Linked DNA regions of Saccharomyces cerevisiae S288C. The gene in region 1 interacts genetically with each later gene. Each region holds a gene or a part of one and is shown on either strand. Other genes may lie near its edges.

Region 1 (4,482 bases):
TTGGGAAGTCAACAATAACTATTTCCACGACTCAGGTATTGTTAAATTCTTTTATGGTGATTCTTTCTTCTCCTTTTTGATTTCTTTTTTCGTTTACTGGGGGCTATGTGTCTTCTTCCCATTCAAAATTACTGTTAGACATGATGACAAAGATTACTATGGTGCATTTACCGACGAAGAAGCGAGAAAGAAGGGCATGATTCCATACAGTGAAATTTCTGAGGAAGAAATCCGTGCTTACACGTTAGGCGAATGCTACACAACTGGACACGAATACAAACCTGAGAGTTCTGATAACGAATCACCTGAATTGATCAAAACTAGCTCAGAAAACACTAACGTATTTGAAATCGTTCACCAAAAGGATGATGAAAAGCACTCCTTTAGTACCACTCAACAAGTTGTCTGATGACAAAGAATCCGATAAAATGAAGATCTCAAATATACAAAGAGGAAACTTCAACGCTTCATTTGAAAATCTGTACAGATCTTACAATTTGGGAATACTACCAGATCGATCCTCAGCTGCAAATACTTTACTGTCAAGTATGTCTATGGTGACAAATATCGGCATTATTGTGTATGGCTCAATAATTTTATAAAAAAAGGAACTATTGGTTCTTAGTATTTTCTTGCTAGAAGACATATTCTTACCAATCCTTTCATAAGCTAATTATGCCATCCATATAGCAAGAGAATCCGGTGGGGGCGCCATGCCTATCCGGCGGCAACATTATTACTCTGGTATACGGGCGTAACTCCATAATATGCCACCACTTACCTTTAACATGTTCATGGTAGGTACCCCACCCAGCCATAAGGAAATTTTCAAAGGCGTTGGATCAAAAAATAGGCCTTTATTTCATCGCGTGATTGAGGAGCATAACATGTTTAGTGAAGGTTTCTTTTGGAAAACTTCAGTCGCTCATTATTAGAACCAGGGAGGTCCAGGCTTTGCTGGTGGGAGAGAAAGCTTATGAAGCTGGGGTTGCAGATTTGTCGATTGGTCGCCAGTACACAGTTTTAAAAAGTCAGAGAATGTAGAGAAGTATGGATCTTTGAAACCCTTTTATTTTATTTTACTTTTTTTAGAATGACCTGTTCCCGACACTATGTAAGATCTAGCTTTTAACATATTATGGAAACCTGAAATGTAAAATCTGAATTTTTGTATATGTGTTTATATTTGGGTAGTTCTTTTGAGGAAAGCATGCATAGACTTGCTGTACGAACTTTATGTGACTTGTAGTGACGCTGTTTCATGAGACTTTAGCCCTTTGAACATATTATCATATCTCAGCTTGAAATACTATAGATTTACTTTTGCAGCCATTTCTTGGTGCTCCAAGGTTGTGCGTATCTATTACTTAATTTCTGTCCTTGCCAAGTTTTGCAGCAGGGCGGTCACAAGACTCCTCTGCCGTCATTCCTTAGTCCTTCGGGAACACACTTATTTATGTATTTGTATTCTACAATTCTACGGTGCACAAGGGTTGGGCACTGTTGAGCTCAGCACGCAACTATTGCTGGCATGAAGATAAGATTGATTTTTGGAAGAATAAGCTTGTGGAAGTTACCTGTCTCTTATTTTTTTTTCCTTTTTGCACTTTTTTTTGGTGATCACTTAGGTAACAATCTATAACACAGCAGTATGAACCCACTAGTTAACCATTCTGCGCCGATGGTATACCTTTTTCATTGCTTAATTGTCTGTGAGAGGCTTGATAAGCTAAGGCTCATGGCGATAAATCCACGATGAACTCGTTTAATGCAAAATATAGGTCGCGGCTTGCCGGGTACCAAGTCGCAACAAAGCTCCCCGAATTGTTTCGCCCATTCATCTGACAGGACAGAATGCCAAACATATGATGCATGATGCAGCAAAGAGCACAGTAATCACTATTTTCTGCATATCATATAGCCAGATTGCTATAGTGTTTGGCTTTTGTCCTGCTGTTAATTGTTTTGTTTTCTTTCTATTTTTATAACTATTATTGGAGAGTAGATCAAGGATACAAATAACAACAACAACCACCAATACCGACCACTTAATAAAAGTAACCATATAATGGGTGTGAGATCCGCTGCAAAGGAAATGCACGAACGGGACCATAATTCGGACAGTTCCAGTTTAGTAACTTCCCTGATGAAATCTTGGAGGATATCGTCGGCTTCTTCCTCCAAGAAGCCATCGTTATACAAAATGAATACTACTGAATCTACTAGTTTACCCTCGGGTTATGCTTCCTCGGCAGATAGAGATCGGAGAACCAGTGACGGTAATTTTGAAGCTATGGCAAAGCAACAAGCAAGCACTAGACGTACCTCGAATTCCTATTCACCTCTACGATATGTAAACCCCACTCTAAGCACTGCAAGTAACGAAAGTCCCCGGCCTGCTTTACTCTTACGTCAGCATCACCAGCGTCATCACCACCATCAACAACCCCGCCATAGCAGTAGTGGTAGTGTAGGCAACAATTGCAGTAACAGTACAGAGCCTAACAAAAAGGGTGATCGATATTTCAAAGACTTAGATGAGGATTGGAGTGCTGTTATTGACGATTATAATATGCCTATTCCTATACTTACTAACGGTGGATTTGGTACACCTGTAGCTCCAACGAGAACTTTGTCGCGAAAATCCACTTCTTCTTCCATCAATTCGATTTCGAATATGGGGACCTCCGCAGTACGGAATTCTTCCTCCTCTTTTACATACCCTCAATTACCACAGCTGCAAAAAGAGAAAACAAATGATTCCAAGAAAACTCAGTTGGAAATCGAAAACGAACGGGATGTTCAAGAATTAAACTCCATCATCCAGCGCATTTCTAAATTTGACAATATTTTGAAAGATAAGACAATCATAAATCAACAGGATCTGCGCCAGATCAGTTGGAATGGTATCCCAAAAATACACAGGCCTGTTGTTTGGAAATTATTAATAGGTTATTTGCCTGTGAACACCAAGAGACAGGAGGGTTTCTTACAAAGGAAGAGGAAAGAATATAGGGATAGTCTGAAACATACCTTTTCTGACCAGCACTCAAGAGATATCCCAACTTGGCATCAGATAGAGATAGATATACCGAGAACAAATCCCCACATTCCCCTCTACCAGTTCAAATCCGTACAGAACAGTTTACAACGAATACTATATCTTTGGGCAATCAGGCATCCTGCTAGCGGATATGTGCAAGGTATTAATGATTTAGTTACACCATTTTTCGAGACTTTTCTTACCGAATATCTGCCGCCTTCACAAATAGATGATGTAGAGATAAAGGACCCCTCTACTTATATGGTAGATGAACAGATTACAGATTTAGAAGCGGACACGTTTTGGTGTCTTACCAAATTGCTCGAACAAATTACCGATAACTATATTCACGGACAACCAGGCATATTAAGACAAGTGAAGAATTTGAGTCAGCTAGTGAAACGAATTGATGCTGATCTATATAACCATTTTCAAAATGAACATGTGGAGTTTATACAGTTTGCATTCAGATGGATGAATTGCCTTTTGATGAGAGAATTTCAAATGGGTACAGTAATAAGGATGTGGGACACATATTTATCTGAAACTTCACAAGAGGTCACTTCTTCTTATTCTATGTCGTCCAATGACATTAAACCTCCTGTTACTCCAACAGAACCTCGAGTGGCAAGTTTTGTTACACCAACAAAAGATTTCCAATCTCCCACCACAGCTCTTTCTAATATGACACCAAACAATGCTGTTGAAGACAGTGGAAAAATGAGACAGTCTTCGTTGAATGAGTTTCATGTGTTTGTTTGTGCTGCATTCCTCATCAAGTGGAGTGACCAGCTAATGGAAATGGATTTCCAAGAAACTATAACTTTCTTACAGAACCCTCCTACAAAGGACTGGACTGAAACGGATATTGAAATGCTTCTGAGCGAAGCCTTTATTTGGCAATCTCTTTACAAAGATGCTACGTCGCACTGGCTGTAAACGGACCTATTCATTTTACTTACTGTATAGTATGTAATAATATAAAACAAAAATCTCCTAATTCATAAATCCTGAGGAACGTGACACATAAAGTTATTGTATACAGATCATCTAAAGATTGGTTTGGTAGAATGTCTCCCAAAGCTCGATGCATTCTTTTTGAGATTCAATGGCCGCTTCTAGTGATATTTCCATGCCGTTTCGGAATTCCCGAATTTTATCAGTAGAGAAACCTTGGAATTCATCTTTTATTTTATCTCCTACCGCTTGCCATTGTTTTTTTGTAAGGTTATACCTTCTCTCCAATGTTTGAAATTCCTTTCTCATTTCTCTGAATTTTTCTGAATGAATATTTTGACCCAATTTGCCCAATTGTGAGTGTTTCTTATTCATGTCATTTTCTATTACTACCAAGAAATACCCCAATTTGGATCTCTGATTGAAAATTGCTTTTACGCTTGCCAATGACCTAATATAGTCGTCCAGCATCACACCCATCG
Region 2 (3,544 bases), on another chromosome or scaffold:
CTGTCAGTGTGGAGTATCAAGATCGGCGTCATTGATTGTGGCGTATATCATGCGATATTATGGCTTGAGTTTAAATGATGCATACAATAAGCTGAAAGGTGTTGCTAAGGATATAAGTCCAAACATGGGTCTCATCTTCCAACTTATGGAATGGGGAACCATGTTGTCCAAGAACTCACCGGGCGAAGAAGGAGAGACTGTTCACATGCCTGAGGAAGATGACATCGGAAACAACGAAGTTTCCTCGACTACGAAGTCCTACTCTTCTGCGTCCTTTAGAAGTTTTCCCATGGTAACGAATCTATCATCGTCGCCGAATGACAGTTCTGTCAATTCTTCGGAAGTAACGCCAAGAACTCCTGCTACGTTGACTGGAGCAAGGACCGCACTGGCCACAGAACGCGGGGAAGATGATGAGCACTGTAAAAGTTTGTCTCAACCCGCAGATTCACTGGAAGCTTCTGTGGACAACGAATCAATATCTACTGCCCCGGAACAGATGATGTTTCTTCCTTAAGGGACAGCATCTCCCAAAAGAATCTTTATGACTATCAGATCTGCAGGCAGACCGCCTCCCTACGCTTCTAAATAGAATGTACTTAGCACTTCTGCCTACATAGTAATTATTCATCATTGTAAGTGTCACATTGCAAAAATCGTCCAATAGACGTTTTCCTCGTTTGTGATTGGCCCTACGTTTTGCGCCGATACAAGCGGCGGCGAAAAGTTAAAAAGAACAATCAATTAAATAAGAACCATCAGTCCTCGTATTTTGTCTTCTGTTTGCAAGCAATGCACCAAACACAAGATCAACTAAGAACGCATCTACAATGTTACGTAACACTTTTACTAGAGCTGGTGGACTATCACGTATTACATCCGTAAGATTCGCTCAAACACATGCTCTTTCCAACGCTGCTGTAATGGATCTGCAATCCAGATGGGAGAACATGCCCTCCACTGAGCAGCAGGATATTGTCAGTAAGTTGAGTGAACGTCAAAAATTACCATGGGCACAGCTTACTGAGCCTGAAAAGCAAGCTGTGTGGTACATTTCTTACGGAGAATGGGGCCCAAGAAGACCTGTATTGAATAAGGGTGATTCCAGTTTTATTGCCAAAGGTGTTGCTGCAGGCCTACTATTTTCAGTGGGACTTTTTGCTGTCGTCAGGATGGCGGGTGGCCAAGACGCAAAGACCATGAATAAGGAGTGGCAGCTAAAGAGTGACGAATATTTGAAGTCGAAGAATGCTAATCCTTGGGGTGGTTATTCTCAGGTCCAATCTAAATGAACAGGCCAGAAATTTTGAAAGGAAATCAATAGGGGTTAACGATTGTCATGGTTTTTTCAGCTAGTCTGTGACCTGTACGAAAGTGAATATCTTATTACATTATAAGTGTATCCATGGGCATCCGCCCAATACAATGCCAACATATCAAACATAAAATTGGCTGATTGCCACTCTCACATTTTTTCTTTATTTATTTACTCAAATTTTGTAATTTTTTGTTAGACATATAATTTTATATCATTATTCTTATTATTCTTATATTTAAGGGAACCCCCCTGGAATGAAATAAGCTAATATAGTATGAGGGAATCCTGTATAAATGGGTTTACCTTGTTATTCTATGCCTCCCTTTCAAAGACGTATTTCTTAAAAACTTCTCCATTTGGTTGAATACTATGAAAAAAAAAAAATCAACTAGAATAGATATGGAAGATAAAAATGTGTAACAAAAAAGAAGAAAAGAGCTGGAGGTATGACAATAGCGCCAATGGCAAACGATTTAGAAGATTTTGAGTCTCTGCTGGAGCCTGATTTTGATGCTAAACAATTTGGTAATGACTTACTGAAGGCTACTAATAACAATGACACAACCATTTTAGACCTTAACACGCCTCTTAAAAAGCTAAACTATGATCTACATGAGATTGACTCTAGAATAGACCAATTGATGAATAGCAACCCATTGGAGATAATAGAGTTAATTTACAAAAATGAACACGTCAATTCAACCATAGTTGGTGAGTTGAAACCAAGTTTGGGATATATGAATATGTCGTACGATAGACTAAAGAATCAAGTTCTAGATCCTTATGAAAGAGCGAGGAAAGTCCAACTAGCGTTGAGTAAAGTTTACCAAACATCTTTTCTCTTGCGCGGAGCATTGCTTTATATTCATTTATCAAACAAATTAAACGCACTGTCTAAAACAGCCCAACTAAGCACATCAACAGCTATTAATTTAGCCTCCTTACACTACCAACTTGAAATTACTTTGGAAGAAAATAAAAATCTAAAATCCTTGCGGAAAATTAAACAATTAGATCAGGACATTGTTTCCCCCAACAAAAGAGAGTTAATAACATTTTTGTCTTTACAAATGTGTAAAGAGTGCTTGAACTCTATTAAAATCAAATCGAACAAAGAAATAATATCTCAGCTGGCCTACTCCTTATATCTACTTTCATCTCAAGAATTCGAGTCTGCAATAAACAAGATTGTACTATCTAATGTTACAATGAGCTCACAAATCCTATCAAAAATTTTAAATTCTATCAGGATGTTTCCTGATGCGTTCAATGAAGTTGTTGAAAAAGGTTATAACATCTACATTTTAGAAACACTACTACAGAACATCAAAACGGATAATGTTACGAATTCCTCGAGATCTATTGCTGCTAATAAATCACGCCTTGGCAATCTTTTATCAGAATATACCTCAATGAAGAGTAAAGCAGGTTCTGGTACACCGAGAGATCTGTTTTGGAGCAAAGTTTCATCTGCCTTCAAAAAGGACTTTGATATATCTGTTAATAGAGGAGGCCCTGTGGGCAAGTCGCTGTTAAAAAATAAAGATTTTATTATAAACACTATGAAGCAAAGTATGAAAAAATCTTCTGATAATAGTGATTACCAAAGCTACTTGGATGTAATGCTAAACTCAGTATCTATTTCTCTAAATAAGTGAGACAGTTTACATAAAATTAAGAATGTTGATGAAATAGGATGAATCTAAAGCAATTTTCAATAGCATGTGCATATGTTTAATAAAAATTACATGAAATGTAATATTTGTTTATATTATTAAAGATTATACTAGTAATAGTTATTATGAGAAATCCAATATCGGTTAGTTTATATGAAGTATTAATATGTATATATATACATTTACGTGGTCATTCTGTCCTAAACTTAGGGGTACTGCCAGCTTTTGCCAGTGGGTTCAAAGGTACCTTTTTTTTGTTTTTCTTTCCACCACGCTTATGAAACTTTTTCTTCAACTGTTTCTTTATCTCACGAGCTTTGGTATCACGCTCCTTGGTTCTTTCAAGTGCCAGTTTTTTGGCTGCACGTTGCTTTTGACCAGGTCTCCTCTTTTTAATCTTCAATTCCTTCTGCTGCTCTAACTCTATTCTCGCATTGTGCTTATACAGATCTATTATTCGACCCTGGCAATATGGCCATTTATCACGAATACGTAGATCATCCTCCAGAATTTTTGTACTTTCTTGTATTATCACATCATAGTCGATAGA
Region 3 (4,875 bases), on another chromosome or scaffold:
TTATTTGACTAGTAAAGATTGTAAACGCGCTTGGGAAATTTTAAATAGAATTGAAAACTTTCCCGTAAAGATAGAGCAAATAATCCCACCAAATTATAAGGACCATCTTAGAGAAACAGCAAATAAAAATTCTCAAAAGCAGGTATTACAACTTAATAGAGATTCGTACCCCTTCGAGGCGGGTTTGGAGCTACCTTTCGAAATGGTGACAGAAGTCCCCATTCCTAGGCGACCACCGCCACCACAGGCTGCAAATAACACAAACTCTGTATCAAATAACACAAACATTCAATTCCCCGACATACTAAGTAAAGCATCTAAACACTTGCCAAGTTTCCAAGATGGCTCGATTATTGCACCAGACAAAATTTCACAAAATTTAAGTAAAATTCCGCCGTTGCAACTTATTGAAATTATATCAAATTTGAAAATATTATCAAACCAAGAAAACATCCAAAAATCGCAATTAGAATCTTTCTTAGATACTAACAGTGATATCACAATATCAGTGACCCAAGCCCTACTAGAAATGGGATTTATAGACTACAGCGTGGTGACTAAAGTGTTGAAATCCCAAGTTGGCGAGGCCCCATCTTTGCTTTCGAGTAATAACACAAGTAATTCGAACACCCCCGTAAGCGTAATTAGAAATAACACTCCGTTGCATGTACCTTCTAATGAAGTCAGCAACAATCCTAACAATATGCCACTGAACGTAGCTATGCCAATGCCTATGTCGACACCACCATTTATCCCTTTACCTCTGCAACAACAACCGTTCGGTTTTGCGCCACCGGGCCCTTTCATGCCTCCAGCTCAAGGCCCCTCCATGGGACAGCCTGTGTTGGCAAATCAACTCGGCCAGGTCCAGCAACAAAATATAAGTTCTACAGAAGGACCCTCTAACGCGAATAAAGCGAATGACAGCGGCACCATTAATATGGCGAAACTGCAATTACTACCTGAAAACCAACAAGATATGATCAAACAAGTTCTTACTTTGACACCTGCCCAGATCCAAAGTTTACCAAGTGACCAGCAACTTATGGTGGAAAACTTTAGAAAAGAATATATAATCTAAGTAATCAGAGCCATAGCGTATCAGAAAACCACACCTAATTAGATGGTTCTTGCATCTGTACCTCTTATCACTAAAAGCGGCACTAAACTTCCAACATTAAATGTTTGCCTTGTTAAATATATATTTTTGCCTTGGTTTAAATTGGTCAAGACAGTCAATTGCCACACTTTTCTCATGCCGCATTCATTATTCGCGAAGTTTTCCACACAAAACTGTGAAAATGAACGGCGATGCCAGAAACGGCAAAACCTCAAATGTTAGATAACGTGGATCTCCGACACATGTGAATTTATAAGTAGGCATATGAAAATACAGATTCTTTCCACTGTGTTCCCTTTTATTCCCTTCTCATGTGAAGAGTTCACACCAAATCTTCAAAATATAACTAATATAGTAGAGTTTGATTCAAAGGACCTTTTTTTTTGCCTCTTTGATTAGTTTATCTTCTTTTCTTCATTTTATCCCCTAATTTTATACGTTAGTTCAACCTAACAATCCAGGATTTCATTAACAAGAAAGGTAAAAGTAACCTATCAAGGCTATTTTGAAAAAAAAAATTCCGCCCTGAATATTTCGAGTGATTTTCTTAGTGACAAAGCTTTTTCTTCATCTGTAGATGTCCAGTTGTAAAACCACTTTGTCTGAAATGGTTGGTTCTGTGACAAAAGATAGGGGCACTATCAACGTCGAAGCCAGAACACGTTCGAGTAATGTAACTTTCAAACCACCTGTAACCCACGATATGGTGCGTTCGCTTTTCGATCCAACTTTGAAGAAATCTCTGCTGGAAAAATGCATCGCGCTAGCTATTATATCGAATTTTTTCATTTGTTATTGGGTCTTCCAAAGGTTTGGCTTACAGTTTACCAAATACTTTTTTCTGGTACAGTATTTATTTTGGAGAATTGCTTATAATTTAGGTATTGGACTGGTTCTGCATTACCAGTCACATTATGAAACACTAACGAATTGTGCTAAAACTCATGCGATTTTCAGCAAAATACCACAGAATAAAGATGCTAATTCGAATTTCTCAACAAATTCCAATTCCTTTTCAGAAAAATTTTGGAATTTTATTAGGAAGTTCTGTCAATATGAGATTAGGTCTAAAATGCCAAAGGAGTATGATTTATTTGCCTATCCAGAAGAGATCAACGTCTGGTTGATATTTCGCCAGTTTGTCGATTTAATCTTGATGCAAGATTTTGTGACTTACATTATTTACGTTTACCTTTCTATTCCATATAGCTGGGTTCAAATCTTCAACTGGAGATCTTTGCTAGGTGTTATTTTGATTTTATTTAACATCTGGGTCAAGTTAGATGCGCATCGCGTGGTTAAAGATTATGCTTGGTACTGGGGTGATTTCTTCTTTTTGGAAGAATCTGAATTGATTTTTGATGGTGTCTTCAACATCTCTCCACATCCAATGTATTCTATTGGTTATTTGGGTTATTATGGCCTATCATTGATTTGTAATGACTACAAGGTTCTTCTGGTGTCCGTATTTGGACATTATTCTCAATTTTTGTTTCTGAAATACGTCGAAAATCCTCATATTGAAAGAACGTATGGTGATGGCACTGATTCCGATTCTCAAATGAATAGCAGAATTGATGACTTGATATCAAAAGAGAATTACGATTATTCAAGACCTCTAATTAACATGGGTCTTTCTTTTAACAACTTCAATAAGCTAAGATTTACTGACTATTTCACAATTGGTACCGTAGCGGCACTTATGTTAGGAACAATCATGAATGCTAGGTTTATCAATTTAAATTACCTCTTTATTACCGTTTTTGTAACAAAACTGGTTTCATGGTTATTTATCTCGACAATATTGTACAAGCAATCTCAGTCTAAATGGTTCACGAGATTGTTTTTGGAGAATGGTTACACACAAGTTTATTCCTATGAGCAATGGCAATTTATTTACAATTATTATTTGGTATTAACCTACACACTTATGATAATTCATACAGGGCTTCAAATTTGGAGTAATTTTTCCAACATAAACAACAGTCAATTAATTTTTGGTTTAATTCTTGTGGCTTTACAAACATGGTGTGATAAGGAAACGAGACTAGCAATCTCTGATTTTGGTTGGTTTTATGGTGATTTTTTCTTGAGCAACTATATCTCAACTAGAAAGCTGACTTCCCAAGGTATCTACAGATATTTGAATCACCCAGAAGCGGTATTAGGCGTTGTTGGAGTTTGGGGTACTGTATTGATGACGAATTTTGCCGTTACAAATATTATCTTGGCTGTTTTATGGACATTGACAAATTTTATTCTTGTCAAGTTTATTGAAACACCTCATGTTAATAAGATATATGGTAAAACTAAACGAGTTAGTGGTGTTGGAAAAACTTTACTAGGCTTGAAACCTCTAAGACAAGTTTCAGATATTGTCAATAGAATTGAAAATATTATAATCAAATCATTAGTTGATGAAAGCAAGAACTCCAATGGTGGGGCAGAACTTTTGCCCAAAAATTATCAAGATAACAAAGAATGGAATATTTTAATTCAGGAAGCAATGGATAGCGTTGCAACAAGATTGAGTCCATACTGTGAATTGAAAATTGAAAACGAGCAGGTAGAAACCAATTTTGTCTTGCCTACTCCAGTAACTTTGAATTGGAAAATGCCCATTGAACTTTATAACGGAGATGATTGGATTGGTTTGTATAAAGTCATTGATACAAGGGCAGATCGTGAAAAAACAAGAGTTGGATCAGGTGGTCATTGGAGTGCGACTTCTAAAGATTCATATATGAACCATGGATTAAGACATAAAGAATCTGTAACAGAAATAAAGGCGACTGAAAAGTACGTTCAAGGTAAAGTGACATTCGACACGTCTTTGCTTTATTTTGAAAATGGTATCTACGAATTTAGGTATCATTCTGGTAACTCCCATAAGGTGTTATTGATTTCTACACCATTTGAAATTTCATTGCCGGTACTAAATACCACGACACCTGAACTGTTTGAGAAGGATTTGACTGAGTTTTTGACGAAAGTCAACGTTTTGAAGGATGGTAAATTTCGTCCATTAGGAAATAAGTTCTTCGGGATGGACAGCTTGAAACAATTGATTAAGAACTCAATTGGCGTCGAACTTTCGTCTGAGTATATGAGGAGAGTCAATGGTGACGCTCACGTTATTTCGCATCGCGCTTGGGATATAAAACAAACGCTTGATAGTCTTGCTTGAGTTTTTTTTTTTTGAGTATATATATTTAAAAAGTACTAGGATTCAAGTTAACATTTTGAATAGAAGTAGTTATGTTGTTGTAATATAATGGAGCTACCATATATGCAGAATGACATTATAAATTATGATGTTGATGTACAATGCCTTTGTGCGCTTCTTTTACCATGAATTTTTTCTTAACCTCTTTCACTTTTCTTTCCGACTAGGATAATCTCGTGTCTAAGTTTCCTGGTTCATTAAACAGCTTATCATTAAATCTCTATAACGGTTATATTGCTCCTTGCAACGATCAAGGCATTCCAAAAGATCTTCATCGTCACCATCATCCTTCCAAAAACCTACAATTTCCTCTCCATTTTTGATGAATGATACGACAGTGCCATTGGCCTCACCGGCACCTGCCATATCCACTAATTCGATGCCGGCATCAGCTAAGGCTAGCGTTATACTAGTGATACAATGTGGTATGAGAGATGATATTTGAGAAGACATCATTTTGCTTTGCGAATCGTCGTCCTGAGGATTATTTGTAAGATCCTTATCATACGTTAAATAAACGAAGATATCG

What was found. A genetic interaction does not mean that the proteins touch.
Region 2: mutations in GYP1 (region 1) and COG5 together harm fitness more than expected from each alone (negative genetic interaction), as found in Saccharomyces cerevisiae (7 studies listed by BioGRID, with this or other methods).
Region 3: mutations in GYP1 (region 1) and CHO2 together harm fitness more than expected from each alone (negative genetic interaction), as found in Saccharomyces cerevisiae (7 studies listed by BioGRID, with this or other methods).

The regions. Positions count from the first base shown.
Region 1 is NC_001147.6:455,407-459,888, reverse strand, and holds GYP1 (GTPase-activating protein GYP1), read left to right. Parts: upstream 1-2,068; coding exon 2,069-3,982; downstream 3,983-4,482. Other genes in the region: NRT1 (nicotinamide riboside transporter), read left to right, coding at 1-409; VPS5 (sorting nexin 1), read right to left, coding at 4,094-4,482. UniProt on the Saccharomyces cerevisiae protein: GTPase-activating protein (GAP) that stimulates specifically the intrinsic GTPase activity of Ypt/Rab-type GTPases YPT1 and YPT7. Functions on the Golgi as a negative regulator of YPT1. Functions on the vacuole as a negative regulator of YPT7.
Region 2 is NC_001146.8:530,895-534,438, forward strand, and holds COG5 (Golgi transport complex subunit COG5), read left to right. Parts: upstream 1-1,764; coding exon 1,765-2,976; downstream 2,977-3,544. Other genes in the region: tyrosine/serine/threonine protein phosphatase MSG5, read left to right, coding at 1-517; COX5A (cytochrome c oxidase subunit Va), read left to right, coding at 831-1,292; YNL050C (uncharacterized protein), read right to left, coding at 3,185-3,544. UniProt on the Saccharomyces cerevisiae protein: Acts as a component of the peripheral membrane COG complex that is involved in intra-Golgi protein trafficking.
Region 3 is NC_001139.9:800,743-805,617, forward strand, and holds CHO2 (phosphatidylethanolamine N-methyltransferase), read left to right. Parts: upstream 1-1,697; coding exon 1,698-4,307; downstream 4,308-4,875. Other genes in the region: cleavage polyadenylation factor subunit PTI1, read left to right, coding at 1-1,081; exosome non-catalytic core subunit MTR3, read right to left, coding at 4,527-4,875. UniProt on the Saccharomyces cerevisiae protein: Catalyzes the first step of the methylation pathway of phosphatidylcholine biosynthesis, the SAM-dependent methylation of phosphatidylethanolamine (PE) to phosphatidylmonomethylethanolamine (PMME). Preferentially converts di-C16:1 substrates.